Linked DNA regions of Saccharomyces cerevisiae S288C. The gene in region 1 interacts genetically with each later gene. Each region holds a gene or a part of one and is shown on either strand. Other genes may lie near its edges.

Region 1 (10,199 bases):
TTACAAGGTGATTGATGGTTGAGGGTGTCTACCATTGGCACTGGAATGTGGAAAGAATTCCAAATGCCCGTCATCGGTTAATTTTAAAACTTGCTTGAATTTACCACCAATTCTCAATAGTGGTTCTTTGTCTTCAGATTTAGTCCATAAGGCAAACTTGTTACCACCTTTTCTAATGCTTAAAACGACACCGTTAATTTGGGAGTCGTCTTCATCAATTGTTTCACCAATAACTGCTAGTAAAGTTCTTAGCCATAATTCATCAATATCAGCACCTTTTCCTCTAAGTTGGAAAGACCATTTACCACCTTTAGCATTGGCTTCATCTTCCCATTCAGGTCTAACGTCATTACGGAAGACGTGGTAATCTGATTTCAATGGTAGTTCGTGTGGCTCAGGAATATTTTGAATGATAGCCCAAAATTCTTCAACAGTTTGGAATGAAGTGACGGGACGTAATAGATCAGACCACGACTCAGATTTATCGACGGCTGGCTTTGTGTACCATAAAGTCCATTTGGTGTTCAATGGGTGCTTGACATCGAAGTGAGCACTGTCACTTAAAACAGTCTTTGGAGTAGCTGTGGTATCATCGACTGAAACGTTTTCTTCAAACTTCTTGCTAACTTCTTCAACGGACATTTTTCTTCCTTTCACTAGTTTTCAGACAAAAATGCTTTTATTTTTCGTAAAACTCCTAGGAAGTACTCAAGCACTAACACAAACACATATGTACAATATAAATCCAGAATTAACACTACCTCTTGCAATGTAAAACTCTCTTTATCAGGTATTGCATTAAACTCTATTGACGACGAAAAAAATTTTCTTTTCGGAGAGGGTAATAAAATTTTACCCGACCTTTTTGACGGGTAATATTACTCTAAACGATTTAACTAAACAATGGTGATGATATGTTAAACTATACATTATGTGGAGAACCTAGATGAATGCAACACCGGGGCAACCGCCGGGACATTCTTGTTCATTCTCATCGAGAAACCATTCTTGTATGCACTGGAAGTGACCTTCGTGTCCACAGGGGAGGATGACCATGGTCAGTTTCTTTAATGGTCTTTCACATAGAACACAAGATGTATTCTTCTTCTTACAAGAGTCACAATACCAGTATCCAAACTTGTCCATGATCTTCTTATTGCCCGTCTGCTGAGCTTCCGCTCTGAGCTTTTCTTTAGAACTTTCGTTAGTGATTAACTCACCACAGCGTTCGCAAAACAACCGAATGGAAGATTGGTCACCCTCAGAACCCATGATATCTTCGAATGGGCAGTATTTTAAGACGTCTGCAGCAATGCCGAAGAGTTCGTATCGATGTAATAATAACAAGAAGTGAGCGATTGCGTCCTTTGCAATGTCGATTTCTGTTATTTGGTATATCGTTTGGAAAAGAAATAAAATATTCACCGTCAATACGACGTTCCCAGTCTCAGTAGCTTGATTGTAGAGTTGTTTGATGAGTTTTTTCGTGTCCCAGGGTGGGTCAGCGATAATTTTCTTGCATTTGGCAAGCTTTTTCGTCAATGAAGAAGACAGTTGTTCCCTACCAATGCTATCTGGCCGTGATGGCGCATGTCTGGGCGATCCGATTATTGGTGCTGTATGGGAAGAAAGCTTTTTAAAAGTTTCTAGTTGCGAGGTTGTTGTGGCATAGCTTTGTAGCGACGAAACCTTACTGCGTGGGCTTACGCTGTTGTAAGTAAACCTAGGAGATATATTGTCATCTTCGTTACCTATGTCCGTATCTCCATTGTAACCGTTGGGAGAATGCAACATGAAAGTATCTATGAATGACTTGCGGTGCTCACGTTTCTGCAATATTGGTATACTTTTCGCGATAGGAGACGCGTGAAATTGTGCTGACTTAGTCGGTGAGTCATGAGGCTGTTCTTCTTCTTGATGTTCATGTTCGTCTTCCTCTATAATCACATCGTCACTCACTGTTTCTCCCATTTTAGTCCTTGACTCCAAGCGTTGGTTCTGTAGCTCTTTTAGCTTAGTTAAAACTTCATCTGAATCCTCATTTGGCTGCGCATAGGGGATTATTTCCGTGTTTTTGAGCTGCTCTTTGAGCTTAGAAACAGGTTTCTTTTCGGCATCACTTGGTTCATCAGAGTTAGCACGAAATGCCTGCGGCCTTTCTTCAACTAACGACTCAGCCCCACTTGTCCCTGCACCATCCTCCTCTGGGAACTCTTTTCCTGTTTTCAGATTTTCTCCAGCTTCGAAATCGGAGCTTTCATTGGCATCCATATTAGATGCGTTATCTGATGAAATTTGGGAGGAGGTCATCCACTTCAAGTCCCATAACAATGAATCTCTTATCAAGATCCAGATTTTGAAGTTGGTTAGATCATCTATGGATAGATAAACAGATGCGTTATGCGTTGCAATAGATATCAAATCTACCAGTGTTTGTATTTTTTCTTGCAGTTCTGCTTCCACGTTCTTGTCGATCTTCCTAGCTCTGTCATGACTTTGCCTACTTGCAGAAATGGAAGATATACTTGATCTGACATCCTTCTCGTCAAACTCCCTCGAACTACTGGAATTTCTTTTGGATTTTTTGTTATTTACTTTTTCATTCATTAAGGTAGCCCATGTATTATTTTCTGGAAAATTGTATTTTTTCAAAAGGTGACTTTCGATTATTTTGTCATCATCATCATCATCATCATCATCATCACCATCATCATTATTATTGGTAGTAGTAGTATTATCACCATGTGTTTCGGTTGCGTTTTTAACGACGTCAATGTTCTCTATATCATTTTTATATGCAGTGTCTGCACTGTCTGAAACATTATGCTCTCGAATATACGAAAACTTGAGCTGTCTCGCCAAATATTTGAACTTTTCTACTGGAGAATTTTTCATAGAAGAACTTTCGGAAATGACGTTCTTTTTTCTTGAATGTGCGATTTTGGTTAATCTTATGTTATTGAAGATCTGCGGTATATCCAAAGTGATGATACAAGGCGGTTCAATGGCGATTTCTTCTCTATTTTCAGTTTGTGGCGTCAGGGATGTCAATGATGCGGAAGAGCTGTTAAAAGAAGATGCTCCAGATGCTAATGTTAAGCTTTTTGTGCTAAACGTTGGGCCTGCTTTTAAAGTAGGCGGCCTCTCTGGCGTAAAACTTGTTAATCCAGTATGGCTAAATCCTTTTTTTATCCCTCCAATTATTCCCTGGTTCTCTGGATTGCCATTCTTCGGGTTTTTTATTGTACCTGGATGCTTCTTGCATGTGGTACTTGAGGTAGGTTGAAGCTCCGGTTCTACCACCTCATATGAGCCTATCTCTTGGTCAACTGAAAGTAAACCGTTACCATCCAAATCTCTCCAAGTTGTTGTATTTTTGCTCAAATTTTCGAGCACTGTTGGTTCTTTGTTAATGTCCCAGCCATTTATACGGGTCCCCTTATCGATATTAAAGATCAAGTTTTCGTCCCACCATACTAATCCTAAAGAAGGCGTTTCTGATAGGAGAACATGTTTTGGAATGTACTTTCTTGCCAAGGAATAGATGCGAACTTCAGCTTCGTCACCCATTGACGATATTCCTAGTAATGAATTATATATATTACTACTATAAGCAGGCTTGAACTTCAATTTAGTGACTGGATAGCCCGTATTAATTGTTAGTTTGGGAAATGCCAGCGAGCCGCTATTGTTCAAGGACGTATTGGGGGCATGTAACGAGGGAGAGTTCCCGTAATTGAGGACTGTATTTTCGGCGGCATTGGCATTGTCGCCAACAAACCAGAGGCAGCATTTACCGTCTCTACCACCTGTAGCAATGTATTCTTGATTGGGATGCCAATTTAAACAAAGACCGGGTCCTGTGTGAGCATTTAATTTTTTTTCGTATTGGGCAGGTTGTCGAAGATCAAACTTTAGCAAGTATCCCGAATCGTGAATAGAAGCAAATTTGTAACCGCTTTTTAAATTACCATACGTTGATGAACCTTGATCGTTCTTAGATGCAAAATTGTAACCGGGCATCCATTTTACATCTCTGATTGAGTCAGATGCGGTATTTATACTAATGTCAGATCTATTTGAGCTTTTAGATTTATTGGAACGTAAATCCCATATTTTTACACAACTATCTTGTCCACCACTTATTATTAGGTTTGATTCGACCATGTTGAAGTCAAAACTATTGATAGATCTAGTGTGTTCGCATAAGGATGTTATCAAGGGATTGTCTATCGAGGAACTCTTATTGAGATCATATATCGATATCGCCGTAGAATTGTTGCACACTGCAATACAGTTCTTGTAATTATTAAATCCAGTCTTAACATCCGCAATGGTACTAAATTTGTTCTGTCTTGTTCTTTTGCTCAGCTTGGGCAAAAGGGATGTCGTTCCCCTTGTTGAGGTGTTGCTATTAGGTGTTATGAAATCATGAACGCATTTGATAGATCTATCTGAGGGCGAGAATTTATAGAGCCCCAAATGAGTTTTACCTGCACAAACAAGACCGTTAATGTTTGGATCATTCACTTTGTCTATACTAGATAATTCTTTATCCACTTTGGTGGTGTAAATGAGTCCAGACGACTTTCTTGTATTTGTGTTGATTGCATTTTTCTTTGTTTTGATTTTCATGTTCGATTTATTGCTCATGCTTCCGGTTGTTTTTGCGTAAGGATTCTTATCATATGGCAAATAACTATCGTTGAATGAACTAGTTCTGTGACTTTCAGGCATATAAACCCCATTACTGTAAGAAAAAGTTGGAGTTAGATTAGGTCGCCGTATAGAATCTAACACGGAAGGTTGTCCACTATTTGAGTAATGATTCATTCGAAAAGAAGAATTGTTGCTTGACGAAGATCCAAGAAACTCGCCCTTGCCTATAGAACTAACGTTTCTGTTTTTTGGTATCGGGGTACTCCCCTTGGGAATGGAAGCATTTTCTACGTGTGGTGATAAGCTCATGATTTTCAACTAAATCCACTCAATAGCTCACTCGCCTTCAGCCAGCAATCGCACCATATGTATTATCAATCGGTTTTCCTTTTTCAGTAATCATCGTTATATATCGATGTTTTTGACAAATTAAAAAGAACGTTCCGAGACAGAAAAATTTAAACTCTCCGATCATGCATAGCTAGACATTCAACAGTATTCTAAAATGCTATAGTAAGAAACCAAGAATAAGATCCTAGGGATTCATAGTATAATTTAATCCATATATAAGTTTTCAGCATGGATGCTTCCTCGGTTCCACCAAAGGTAGATGATTATGGAATGTATACAACTGAAATTTCACATCATAACCCAATAGAGTTGAAAAATCTGCTATCATCATCAGACTCCAGAAGAAATTCTCAAGATGAAGATAGTCTACCTAACAATACAAACTTAATCAAAGAAATTGACTGGCAGGGCGAGAAAGTTAAAACATATCCACTAAACTATCAAACTGTACCACTAGTAAAGCTGCAGGTGATAGCATGCTTGATTATGTTCGTAGTCTTTGGTATGAACGATCAAACAGTAGGTGCACTACTTCCTACGCTAATTGAATACTATCATATATCGCGGGTAGATGTCTCAAACGTATTTATAGTCCAATTATGTGGTTATGTGATGGCGTCTTTATCAAAAGAGAGATTGAATAAGCACTTTGGTATGAGAGGTGGTATGCTTCTAGCAGCTGGTTTGTGTATAGTATTTCTTATCATTTTAGCAACTGCACCTTCTAGTTTCTATGTTTGTATGTTTTGTGGCCTTCCTCTTGGTTTAGGGATCGGCATCTTAGATTCTACCGGTAATGTTTTAATGGGCAGTCTTTTAGTCCATAAGAATGAACTCATGGGTATCATGCATGGTCTTTACGGGGCAGCAGCTATGGTTACTCCTCCCTTAGTTTCATATTTTGTTGAATGGGGTCATTGGTCTCTTTTTTTCCTTATTCCTCTGTTCTTTTCTATAATAGGCATGATTGTAATCTTCCCAGCTTTTAAATTTGAAACTGCAAGTAAATACGACTACCTCTGCTCTGTGGAAAACAAAGAAAGCAACAATGATGTGGAAGAAGCGGGTGATAACTCGCTGATGGAATCTACCAAGGCGAGCCCAGGATTTTTTGAACTTTTAAGAAATCCTGCTATTTTCTTGTACTCATTGTATTTGTTCCTTTACTTAGGTGCTGAAATTACAACTGGTTCATGGTTCTTTAGTTATTTATTGGAAACTAAATCAAGTAATAAGGTTGCTATGTCATACATAGCGGCATCGTTTTGGACAGGTTTGACTGTAGGCAGGTTGTGTCTAGGATTTGTTACTGAAAGATTCTTCGAAAACGAGTATAAAGCAAGCAAAGCGTACGCTTTTTTAACTCTATCTTCATACACCTTATTTGTGCTTGTTGGGTTGATCAATTCAAGCTCAGTTTTCTATTTCGTCGTGTTATTTTTTGTTGTTTTTTGTTGTGGTACGTTTATCGGACCATTATTCCCAAACGCAAGTATAGTTGCATTACAAGTATTGCCCAAAAGACTACATGTGAGCGGGGTTGGGGTTGCCGTCGCCGTTGGTGGTTGTGGTGGTGCAGCCATTCCATATTTGGCTGGAGTTATTGCACACACAGTGGGAATCCAGTATATCCCACTATTGTGTTGGATTATGGTTGCGTTATTTACATTGGAATGGACATTGTATCCTAAATTCATAAAAGGGCATGAAGAATATTTTTAGTTTCAGAAACGCCATCGGTGCCAGTGCATTGCAACTAATTCCAAAATTAGAAAAATAAAGCTGTTGAATAATTGTAACAGAAAGATAGAAAGGCGGAAGATAAAAGGAACTTCAGACAACATATGGAACTTTTTGATATATAGTATACATAATGACACTCTTGGTCGTTTACAAATAGATAGAATTTTAAGGAAAAAGTAATACTATCTGAAGTCTATAAAGAGCTTTTGAAAGCTGCTTCAGTAGTGCAAAAAAAGTGTATAGTAGCCTTTTCAAGATAACATAATGTAACTAGCGGTACCAAGGAAACTGTAAAAGAATAGAAAAACATGCGAAAAGGTCGTAAAAATGGTCATTAAAAGGCGGGAGGTAGATGGAGTTCTGGAGAGGATCATAAATATAATAAAGGAGTACCGATATTCAACTCCCGTATGGTAAAGTATCAGTCAAGCAAATCCGTTGCTTTCAATTAGGCTCTGCAAATCATCAAAAAATTTATCATTAACAACAGAGTCTAGTGTAGTTAAAGTTTCCTCTGAGCTATTTCCAAAACTTTCAAAAAACAATTTAACAGCTTCGATGTATTCAAAACCAAACATCTGAGAATAGTGATTGATGAAATTTTCAATAACCATAATGGTGTCCCTAATTTGCTTGCCGCAGGTTGAAGGGTAATGACTTTGATTTAAAGAATGTGGCTCAACGACGCCCGCATTAATAACATTGAAGAAAAATAAGCTCGTATCGATTTCTTCATGTTGGCTGATATATCGATGGATTTGATTGAACTCATCAAGGGAGAAAGGTGTAAACTGCGAATAGTAATGTTTTAATCTCTTTGCAAAATCTTTGATGGCAAGTTCATAAGGTTTGTCTAAGTAGTCTTCATTAAACGATTTATTGTGGATATTGTATTTGATAAAGCTTCTGTTAAAACATGACACCTGTAAGATTATGGGCACCAAATTGAAACTAGAAAGCTCATCTGTATTGAACGAACAAACCTCCTCAAATATAAATCTTCTTCTTTCGATGGTCGAATTTGTGGCGTCGAAGATTCCCACGTCACATTCATCGTTGTTGATTTCGTGAAACAACTTTTGCAAAGTGATCCTGGCATACGTTTCCTTTTTATCGTTATTTTTCGGATTAAATAAGTCTTCCGAAGATGTATTCGACAAAAGCAAAGGCTTTGAAATGGTAGCACAACTGATTTGCCTTCTTATCTTACCAGCATTAAAAACTTTACAGCGTAATGAATTAGTTAGCGGATTGTTCTTCAAACATTGAATTAAATGAGAAGAAATGGTAGACTTCCCAGTAGCTGGTAGCCCAATCAAAACAATCATAAACTTGTTAACTTTTCCATTTGTATACGTAGGGTCTGCATTGTCTCTTTTGTAATTCAGTGTAATGGGTAAGTGTAACGGGTCGTTAGAAATAAACCTTGGGACCTCTGTAGACAGCAGTGAACTTTTGTGATTATCGAAAAAAACAGAATCTTGACAATCTAAAGTGGCTCTGTCGAGAGATGCGCTTGAATAGCTGTTACCGGTGTTAAGTGAAAAAAGAGAATTCGAGGAATTATATTCGGAAGTCAAATATCCATCGTGAGAGTCTGAATCGGAAGAACCACCCATTTTCAAACTTCCAGCGGAAAAAACGCGTTCGTTATCCCTTTTCTTCCTTTTCCTTATATCTAAAATATTAAAAATCGCGTAAGGTAATTTGTTTCGAGGGCAGTGGAACTTGAAGCCAAATAAGAAGTATAAGTACTGGGCTCTCCTAGTATTTCCGGTTTAGTGTTACTCGTATATGAGCGTATCAGACTTTTTAACACCCTCTAAAAAAGCAAATAAGTTGGTTTGCTGTGGCACCAAAATAAGCGAAAACACCTTTGTTTAGAGCACGTCTTCTTTTATATAAGCCAATCTTCCACACGAAAAACCGAGTAATCCAATTTACTTTTTCTACTTTTTTTTCATTATCAATCGATTCAGATGCCCAGAGAAGAAAAAGAAAAAAAAGGAAAACAATTTCCGTTGCAGACTCATCTGTGCGCGATTTCTGTGAAAAGGTGGGGCACTTGTGCCTGGAATCTCGGAAATACGTCAATTAATTTTTGGTATATATTCCGATAAGCTATAGTTCGTATTTTTCCGTTCCGAGGGAGGTGTACGGGTGGACTACCACGTGCCTACTATACGCTATACGGTAGTTGAAAATGTATATAGTTACACAAATGATTTATAATAGTGTGGTCATTGGGACGACGATGGAGGAGATTGTGATCCGGTTCTTAAGGTGTCCTGTATGCTGGTGAGTTTGTCGTGTACCTGTTTGCATACTTGCTCGATCTCGCGAATTTCCCCGCGCTTGTATTCTAATTGTTCTTCCAATAGCATAATAAGGGACTCTCGGGACTGATGGGGTCTGTACTCATTAAGTAGGTGGTGAATATTGACAAGAATGGTCCTTATGTTCTCCACTTTGCGCTCATACATATCCGGATTTATGCTCAATACGCCGATGAGTTCCAAGTAATTTAGCAGGAGGGATTTCAATAGTTTGCGTAGCTCTTGGATTTTGTATTGATAATTTGTGCTTTCGTTTTCTGTGGATTTCTTATAAAGTTGGGTGAGTCCCATGCTCTCTAAATCGGGCAGTTGGTCCTTCACCTGCCATATACTCCCAAACGCTCGGTACTGCTGATTTTTGGGCATGGGGGGTGGGATTAGGTAATCTAGCGCACATGTAATCTCCTCTTCACTGCCGCCGTTACTGTTATTTGGAGCCGTCTGCTTCGCACTTGCGGCCTTCTTTTCTTTGTATTTTGGTAATTTTTCCAGATTGGACTGTGTGAAAAACTTCACGTATGGGGGTGGAGGTGGGTACAAGGAGCTAACCTCATTACCAGGATCATTGGACATTTTTAGTTTGTGAATTTTTTTTTTACTAGCTTAAATTTGGGATATGAAACCTCTTTTATGTCATATTTGCACGTCTAATGACCTGCCTGCTGAAAATGCAAGATTCGTTGTTTAAGTTCTAACTAACATTTCGTATTTCGTGATAATAGTTTCTTTTAAAGGTGTGAAGAGGGAGATCATGAAACCCACAATAGACGTATGGGCTTCAATATGTGCAATGTTGGTTGCTACTAAATGTCTTTCTCCAGTGGCAGAGAACTTTAAAGAGAAATAGTTCAACATGAGCAACGAAGTTGACAGGATGGATGTTGATGAAGATGAATCGCAAAATATTGCGCAAAGCTCAAACCAAAGTGCGCCAGTGGAAACCAAAAAGAAGAGATTTGAAATTAAGAAATGGACCGCAGTGGCGTTTTGGTCATGGGATATAGCTGTTGACAACTGTGCTATTTGCAGGAACCATATAATGGAACCATGCATTGAATGCCAGCCAAAGGCCATGACGGACACTGATAATGAATGTGTAGCAGCCTGGGG
Region 2 (9,606 bases), on another chromosome or scaffold:
AGTTATATTACGACCAAAAAACACATTTCCCATCACAGTTAAATGCTCTAATTCCAGAATATTAGGAATATCTGGTACTCCTATCTTAAAAGTCTCATAAGTTGCAAACTCATCGCCCAAGTCGATTGAAGGTAATAATCCAAATTTCAGAGGGTAGAGGTTAAATGTTCCATTTGAATCGAGATCATATAATGTTGATTTCAACAAAAACAAGTCCTTACATGTTCTTAGGGGTAAAAATCTGTCTCTTGATACTTTCAATACTCGACTGTTCGGAAAGAAGGCAATACAATCGACCAACTGTGTCTTAAATTGAAGACACTCTATCTCTTCATTTTTGTGTGTTATTTTACTTTCACTAGAATGAATTGGCAAATTTAAACTATTAGACTCTATTAGCACCTTTAGCTTTTTCAAATCAATCCAAATGTTATTAGTGTTGACAATTCGACACGTGCTTGCACTTTCATTGGATAAGCAGTTGTAATAAACCGATCGTAGTTTACCTTTATATGTTGCCAACACTCCAGTGTTTGAAACATTTGCAGTCCTTTCAACTACTTCAACAAGATACTCGATTTTTTCATTTATGATGAAATTTAAAATGTTCAAATCTCCTGTAGCGCCCAAATTGTCAACATTTGAAACAAATAAAATCTCTTTTCCTTGAGCAATTAATTTGTCCAATTCTCCTGAAAAATACAAAGTGTCAGTTAGGTTACCAGTCCCGCAAGGATACCAAAAATCATTTTCATGAGAATTTATTTGTAAATCGATAGGTAATAATCTATCTTTATCAATTTGTGGAAAGCTTGACTGAACTACGGTTTTCCATCTCACTTTGCTAGAAGAATAATGCTCTTCAAGGAAGTTTGATACTTGAGATTCAGTTTCAAGCGAGGTCATAAATATAAGAGGAACGTCTGAATTATATCGTACATTCAAATTTTGCGTTTGTCGAACTATTACATCCAATGAAGACATCCCATTTTTTACTTCGAATAAAGGGCTTTCTTTACCAATGATTGGATTAGCCTTTCCGGTTAATTTTAAAATAGCTAACTTTGATAATAGTTTACCCTCTAACAAACCGTAATTTTTAATATCATCGAGTTCAACCACTTCATCAATTATCGGTAATCTAATTTTGTCACAAACTAGATCATGGGTGATTGAAGTATTTTCTAAGACATATCTTTGAAAAATGTGCAAAAATAGGCTAAACTCATAATTCTTGTCACGTATCGAAGGAAAATGTTTCTGCAAGGCCCTTATCATTTGTGACATAACAACATCCTTTCCAATACCTTCGAAAGTACCTTCAAACTCTATTTTATTTACTCCAGAGAAAACCGTCATTGATCTTGTATATACTATGTAGAACAGTGAAATATTTTTCCTTTTTTTTTTTATTATCAAGAATCACTTGTGTCAGTTATCGTTAAATTCCAGGTTACAAAAAGATTGTAAATGCCAGGGAAAATACAATTCAAAAAAGTTACAGTATAGTTATATTTAATTACTTAAATTTACTTTTTTTACTATAAGGTGCTATTCCTGCATTCTTTTTTTAATTAATCAGGACTTATAAGCTGATAGTACTTTCATTCTTTTTTTTTTGTGTGATAAGGCCATTGAACATTATGGAAGACTAACTACTTTTTCTTCAAGAAAATTGTGTGCTTCTACTCTCGTTCAATACAGGAAATTTTAATTCCAACAGAGTGGAAATTTATGGTTTTCTTACCACAATAAATTTCTCAATTGTTAAAATCTGAAAAGTTGGCAGCCCTGGCCCTGTCAAAGAAAGTATTATTATGCGTCGCGAAATTTCTTTTTCTTCACGCCTTGTTTTTAGTTTGGGCATCTCGAAAGCATCTAATACAAAATCCAACTAAAGCACAGCATTCAATCTAGTAGAGAGAACAAGAGATATTCATCATGACCGGCATGGAATCAGGAGAGAATTTGGAAAACATGGAAGATATTTTGGCGAGACATCGCAAGGAAAATAAAGATTTACAGAATAAGATAACGGGTATGAAAAAGCAGGCTACTAAATCCAAAAGGAAAGAAGTTAATTCGAAATGCCTAGATCTTCAAGATAAACTAAAGACTAAGCAAGAAAATGAAATAAGGGATTGGAAAATTGCAAATAATGAAGTGTTTGACGCAGAACAAGAAGATGAAGTGACTCCTGAAAAACTTTTAGAACAACTATCCATATCTCGAGATGAGAAAGAACAACAGAATGTTCCCGTTCAACAACAGCAACAAGGCCAGACAAAGAAGCGTCGCAATAGACAAAAGGAAAGATTGGCCAAAAGAGATGCAGCAATTGCTAAAATGAAAGAAGAGGCTGCTTTAGAAGCATCCAAACAACCGGACTTGAAAAAAATGGAGCAGGAGTCTATAGATCAGTTATGCGAGTTGAAGAAACTGAAACAATTCGATATACAACCCGATGGCCACTGTCTCTTTGCATCTATATTAGATCAGTTAAAATTACGCCATGATCCAAAAAAACTGGATCAAGACATGGATGTCATGAAGCTGAGATGGTTGAGTTGTAATTACGTACAGGAGCACAGGGATGATTTCATTCCATATTTGTTTGATGAAGAAACTATGAAGATGAAAGACATTGATGAGTATACGAAAGAGATGGAGCATACAGCTCAATGGGGTGGTGAAATTGAGATTTTGGCTCTCTCTCACGTTTTCGACTGCCCCATTAGCATTCTGATGAGTGGAAGACCTATTCAAGTGTACAATGAATGTGGGAAAAATCCTGAATTGAAGCTAGTTTACTATAAACACAGCTATGCATTAGGTGAGCATTATAATTCATTGCATGATTCTTGATTTTTCCCATCCGTATCTAATGAGATATGCTTATTTGTAAACCTTAATGCATCTATTTAATTGTATAGTTTGAAGCATATGGATATAAAAGAATAAAGAGAAGTAATAATCGGATATGAACATTGGTGGAGGAAAATTTTTACTTGGGAGGATATCGAATAATCCAACTTCAGGGATAGTAGGGCTTGCTAATGTTGGTAAATCGACTTTTTTCCAAGCAATAACAAACTCAAAATTGGGAAATCCTGCAAATTATCCATTCGCTACCATTGACGCAGAATGTGCCAAAGTCAATATACCTAGCGTGCCGCTCTCTAATTTATTGAGAATATATCAGAGTGCGAAATGCGTACCTGGAACACTCACAATATATGATATTGCTGGGCTCACCAGAGGCGCATCTCAAGGCCATGGTTTGGGTAACAAGTTCTTAAACGATATCAGACACGTAGAGGGGATATTTCAAGTGGTGAGAGGATTCTTAAAGGAAGACATCACCCATATAGAAGGTAATGTTGATCCTGTCAGAGATCTATCCGTGGTACAAGATGAACTCATCTTGAAAGACTTAGAATTTCTGGAAAACATTAGGGAAAGACTTAGTAAGAAGATGAGAATGGTTTCGAAGAATTCTAAAGAACATCAGGAAATGAAGATAGAGACAGAATTATTAGATGCATTAGAGGAACATTTGTTTAACGGTAAAAAAATCCGGCATTTCAAAGATCATTGGAACCTGGATGAAGTCAAAATTTTGAATAAGCATAACTTTTTAACCTCCAAACCAACTTTGATATTGCTAAATGTTTCACCTCAAGATTACGTTAGGAATGAAAATAAATTTGTCAGAAATATTATAGAATGGATTAACGAATTTTCGCCAGGAGATAAATTCCTACTTTTCAGTGCAGAATTTGAATCGCAATTGATGGAATGTAAAGGCATAGCGTCAGAGTATTTTGACAAGATCAAGGAAGATACCAATGTTTCTGATCAACAGTTAGTTTCTGCGATACCGCAAATAATACTAGAAATGAGAAAGTTGTTGAACTTAATTAGCTTCTTTACATGCGGCCCACAAGAAGTTCACCAATGGAATATAAGGGAGGGAACCACCGCTCAAGAGGCCGCGGGTGTAATCCATAGCGACTTGCGTGAAACATTTATCAGCGCTGATGTAATAAAATATGACGATCTGAAGAAGATGGAACCACCGCTAAATGAGTCTTTACTAAAATCTAAGGGACTTATCAAACGTGCAGGCAAACAATATATTATGCAGGACAATGACATTGCCTTATTCAAAGCCGCCGGTGGGAAAATTAAGAAATAGTTTGTCATAAAAAATACTTGTAAATATGAATAGAAACGCTTGCTTTGTTTTGTCTTTTCCAATAATTACACAAGAATCAACAAAAGTATGAGATATATATATATATATATATATATATATTATATTTGCATAAGGTTTAACCACTGATAGTAAGACAGAGGTATATCGAGGAACTGTGTTTACCTAGAGTGGGCTGATTCTAATAGTGCAGCTATATGCGAAAATGAGAAAAAAGGAACCGCTGAATTCAATAATATATTTTGGTTAATGGACGAGAAAAAGAGGAATCTAATGGAAATTATTTCCAGTTAGAACCAGCTTAGTTGGAAGCAACAACAACTTCGACATCCACACCAGGTTCAATGGTGATTTGAGTGATTCTCTTAACGATTTGAACAGGAGCTTCCAAGTCGATGTATCTCTTGTGGATTCTCATTTCGTAGGTTTCCCAAGTCTTAGAACCTTCACCATTTGGAGTCTTTCTGGTGGAGATCTTCAAAACCTTGGTTGGTAGTCTGACTGGACCCTTCTTGACCAAGTTGTGTTGTTCAGCGTTCTTGACAATGTTGGAAGAGACGTTTTCCAATTGCTTAACCTTGGTGGAGGTCAAAGTGATTCTAATCTTGATGATTTGTTGTTGTTGTTGTTCTTGTTCTTCAACCTTTTCCTTTTGAAAGTCAGACATTTTGTATATACCTTTTTGTTTATTTTACTTGCTTTCTTGTAGGAGTTTCAATCTAAAGCTGAGCTTGAATGAAATAACCCATCTTTACTATTATTTTGAATTCAATACGGTCTATTACTCAATCTCTGAGGCTAGTCGCGAATGCGTCGAAGTTTTTTTTTCAAAATTAAAACATTATCGTTACCCGAACTTTATCTTCATAAAAATAGTTGTGGCATTTTTTCTCTTATGTTTACGGATGTAGAAAATGTACAGGTGTGAACTTGCAGGTAAACATTTTTACATTTTTACTTTTATCTTTTCCCCTTCTATAGAGATAAAAATAAGAAGTTTCAGGGAAATCTCTCTTTCCATAGTAAATAGTGTTAGCAGCAGACAAGACAAGAAGGATATCAATGACGATACGCATTTTTCCGAATGATCTGGTCAGATAATTCTTTTTTTCCCTTTATCGGGAGGTTTTGATGAGAAAACGATGTCAATAGTATTCTAGTCACAATAGGGAGCTAGACGGCTATTCAATCAGAATGCGACTATCCGGAGTTATCCTCAATGATAGACGTTTCTCCAGTTAGGAGCGCCAAGAATGTGTGAACAAAATGCACAAGGTGCAGATTTGGCGCTCTTTATCAGCGCTTCATACGGTAGATATGAACTTTAATTTTGAGATTAGCCAAGACCAAAGGTTCTCTTAAAGATGCAAAAGCAGTCATACAGGTATTTGTTTTATGCAGCAAGGCTGACTCAAACTAGGCATTCCAATTCTGTTTATCTATTGGTGCCGCACCTTTTTTCCGATGATGAAATGAGGCGGCGCACATTTGGGTGTTATCTTATCGGGATATTTTATGATAGCAAATGCGACAGACAATAATGCTCGAGAGTGGACAGGCCAATAGTCAGTTGCAGCATAGAAACAAGCAGGCGTACCTATGGGAAAGGTGTAACTCATCATTGCGCTTTCTACGGTACGGTTATCCTTAGATAACAGGCAAGATGTGCTCTATTCATCGGTGTTGCATGAAGATACGTCTTGTTCGCCAAGTATATAAAATGAAGCAGTAGTATAGCCGTAGCTTTACTATTGTTAGCAGTTTCCCTTGTCTAGATTCTTAAATTGGGTTCATCCAAGAAAAAGTAATAACATAAATTTGTCATTGTTATAGTATGGGAGAATTTAAACCTCCGCTACCTCAAGGCGCTGGGTACGCTATTGTATTGGGCCTAGGGGCCGTATTTGCAGGAATGATGGTTTTGACCACTTATTTACTGAAACGTTATCAAAAGGAAATCATCACAGCAGAAGAATTCACCACCGCCGGTAGATCTGTAAAAACCGGCTTAGTGGCTGCAGCCGTGGTTTCTAGTTGGATCTGGTGTTCTACATTGTTAACGTCGTCAACAAAGGAATATGCAGACGGTATATTTGGCGGTTATGCGTACGCTGCTGGCGCATGCTTCCAAATTATTGCATTCGCAATTTTGGCAATTAAAACCAAGCAAATGGCTCCCAATGCGCACACATATTTAGAATTAGTGAGAACAAGATATGGTAAGATCGGCCATGGTTGCTACTTGTTTTATGCCATCGCGACGAATATTTTAGTCACTTCAATGCTTTTAACTTCAGGTTCTGCTGTCTTTAGTGATTTAACCGGGATGAACACTATCGCATCATGTTTTTTACTGCCTGTGGGTGTTGTTGTTTATACTCTATTTGGTGGGATTAAAGCAACTTTCTTAACGGACTATATGCACACATGTGTCATTATCATCATTGTCCTCGTATTTGCCTTTAAAGTTTATGCGACTAGTGATGTTTTAGGCTCACCGGGAAAAGTTTATGACTTAGTTCGTGAAGCCGCCAAGAGGCATCCAGTAGACGGTAACTATCAGGGTGAATATATGACCATGACATCCAAATCCGCTGGTATTTTATTAATTATTAACCTGATTGGAAATTTCGGCACCGTTTTCCTTGATAATGGTTATTGGAATAAAGCGATTTCTGCTAGTCCCGCAGCGAGTTTGAAAGCATATGCCATCGGTGGGTTAGCATGGTTTGCAGTACCTTCTTTGATTTCATTGACCATGGGATTAGCATGTCTTGCGGTGGAAACGTCTCCGAACTTCCCCACCTATCCTGATCCACTTACTTCGTTCCAGGCAAATTCTGGGTTAGTCTTGCCGGCAGCTGCAATTGCTATCATGGGTAAGGGGGGTGCTGTGGCATCGCTGCTAATGATTTTCATGGCCGTCACATCTGCTATGTCTGCTGAACTAATTGCCGTTTCATCTGTTTTCACTTACGATATCTATAGAGAATATATTGATCCTCGTGCAAGCGGTAAGAAATTGATTTACACATCACACGTTGCTTGTATCTTTTTTGGTCTTGCCATGAGTGGATTTTCGGTTGGTTTATACTATGGTGGTATTTCTATGGGTTATATCTATGAAATGATGGGTATAATTATTAGTAGTGCAGTATTACCTGTCGTTTTGACCTTATGTTCCAAAGACATGAATTTGGTGGCCGCTGTAGTGTCGCCTATTTTGGGCACAGGACTGGCTATAATGTCATGGCTTGTCTGTACCAAATCCCTTTATAAAGAATTGACCGTGGATACTACGTTCATGGATTATCCAATGTTAACAGGTAACTTGGTGGCTTTGCTATCACCAGCCATTTTTATTCCTATTTTAACGTATGTGTTTAAGCCACAAAATTTTGACTGGGAGAAAATGAAAGATATTACTAGAGTTGACGAAACTGCAGAGTTAGTTCAGGCTGACCCTGATATCCAGCTTTACGATGCTGAAGCTAACGATAAGGAACAAGAAGAAGAAACAAATTCTCTGGTCTCAGATAGTGAAAAAAACGATGTTAGAGTAAATAATGAAAAATTGATTGAGCCTAACCTTGGTGTTGTAATAAGTAATGCCATTTTTCAAGAAGATGACACACAGTTACAAAATGAATTAGACGAAGAACAAAGAGAACTAGCACGTGGTTTAAAAATTGCATACTTCCTATGTGTTTTTTTCGCTTTGGCATTTTTGGTAGTTTGGCCCATGCCCATGTATGGTTCCAAATATATCTTCAGTAAAAAATTCTTTACCGGTTGGGTTGTTGTGATGATCATCTGGCTTTTTTTCAGTGCGTTTGCCGTTTGTATTTATCCACTCTGGGAAGGTAGGCATGGTATATATACCACTTTGCGAGGCCTTTACTGGGATCTATCTGGTCAAACTTATAAATTAAGGGAATGGCAAAATTCGAACCCACAAGATCTGCATGTAGTAACAAGCCAAATTAGTGCGAGAGCACATAGACAATCATCACATTTCGGACAAGTTGATGAAATAATTTAGCTTTCAAAATATAATATTCTATCCACTCATCAACCTCATTAATAATTTTTAAATAGCTCTAATTATAAAATAGTCTTTCATTATAGGTACATAAAAGAAAAGAAAGTCAAGGGGAAAAAAAAAAAAAAAAGGAAATTTCTAAATTTATGTTATTTGGTCCGTTTATGTAGTACTTCTATCATTTTTTGCATCTCTGTCGTAATCTACGTCGAACAATACGTCATTATTTGCGTTCGTATTTGCATTTACACTTGGCACTTCTTCAAAATCGGATGCTAAATCAATATCCATATTGTGATCGTGTTCCTGGTAGTCATTACGTGGCTCTCTATTAGGCAATGCCTCATCAGACAAGGAATTTATGTCATCTAAATCGAATTCTGATACATTTTCCATGTCAGTTGGTAATTGATGCGAGCACGCTAGTAAATATGATGTACTTGTAGGTCTCCAGAAGAATGCGAAAATGACGAAGACCAAGAAGTAAACGAAACTAGGCCAAGTATCTGTGATGAGGAATTCTGTTTTCCAATATTGTTCTATCATGTCAACAGTGTCCATACCGACGTATGCAAAAGTAGAGACTAGTAAGCCTAAGAAGAGTATAAACAACGAAATATAACACAATATGATCAGTTTTCTGTACATGTTTAATTTCACCACTTGGTTTTGTTCCCTCAAATAAGTCATTGTTTTGTTCATTGAAGACAGTGTCAAATAATAGAAAGCGAATAGACATAATACTAAGGGGATAGCAGTAATCAAAATCAAATTGGATAAAGACTCAGAATTCTGGGAATATTTTTGGACCAGGAATGCAACGCACACTGCAAACGTAAATATCGCAAATATTTGACATCTTCTTAGCAATGTACGGTCCAGTTTTGGATATACTATACCATATCCAAGAGATATCAGCAAGGCGAGGAGAAGCGTGAAAGTCATCTTACCGGCGCTAAAGATCGATATGAAAACCATATAGACATGAAGAGCGACGCTGGAGTTTCCCTTCTGGTTCTCAATAATATAGTACATCCAGACGAAAATAGTATCAGCTGTTAGGAAAATACAAAATACCAAAATGTACCTTTGTAAAGGCAGTAACTCATGTCTATGCTTCCAGCATAGCCAAGAGTACACTAATGTACAGACGGCATAAGCGACGGCCAAAAAGGCATAAATAGGCATCTTGTACGCCTCTGAAGCGTCCAATTGACCGTAAGCGTTCCTAAAATTCACTGTAGCCTTAAACTTGGAACTGGAAGAAATGAAAGATGACGTGGTCACACAATAGTAACCAGTTTTGTTAATTGAGTATACCTTGTCGTTAGTGCCCAATTCTTGTTGA

Evidence for each region.
Region 2: mutations in BSC6 (region 1) and OTU2 together harm fitness more than expected from each alone (negative genetic interaction), as found in Saccharomyces cerevisiae (one large-scale study listed by BioGRID).

What each region holds. Positions count from the first base shown.
Region 1 is NC_001147.6:60,383-70,581, forward strand, and holds BSC6 (Bsc6p), read left to right. Parts: upstream 1-5,238; coding exon 5,239-6,732; downstream 6,733-10,199. Other genes in the region: CDC33 (translation initiation factor eIF4E), read right to left, coding at 1-642; RTC1 (Rtc1p), read right to left, coding at 943-4,968; PFK27 (6-phosphofructo-2-kinase), read right to left, coding at 7,179-8,372; mediator complex subunit MED7, read right to left, coding at 8,994-9,662; SCF ubiquitin ligase complex subunit HRT1, read left to right, coding at 9,943-10,199. UniProt on the Saccharomyces cerevisiae protein: Probable transporter.
Region 2 is NC_001140.6:70,689-80,294, reverse strand, and holds OTU2 (deubiquitinase OTU2), read left to right. Parts: upstream 1-1,941; coding exon 1,942-2,865; downstream 2,866-9,606. Other genes in the region: YHL012W (UTP--glucose-1-phosphate uridylyltransferase), read right to left, coding at 1-1,359; YLF2 (Ylf2p), read left to right, coding at 2,981-4,198; 40S ribosomal protein uS10 RPS20, read right to left, coding at 4,518-4,883; YHL015W-A (uncharacterized protein), read right to left, coding at 5,513-5,596; DUR3 (Dur3p), read left to right, coding at 6,051-8,258; YHL017W (uncharacterized protein), read right to left, coding at 8,421-9,606.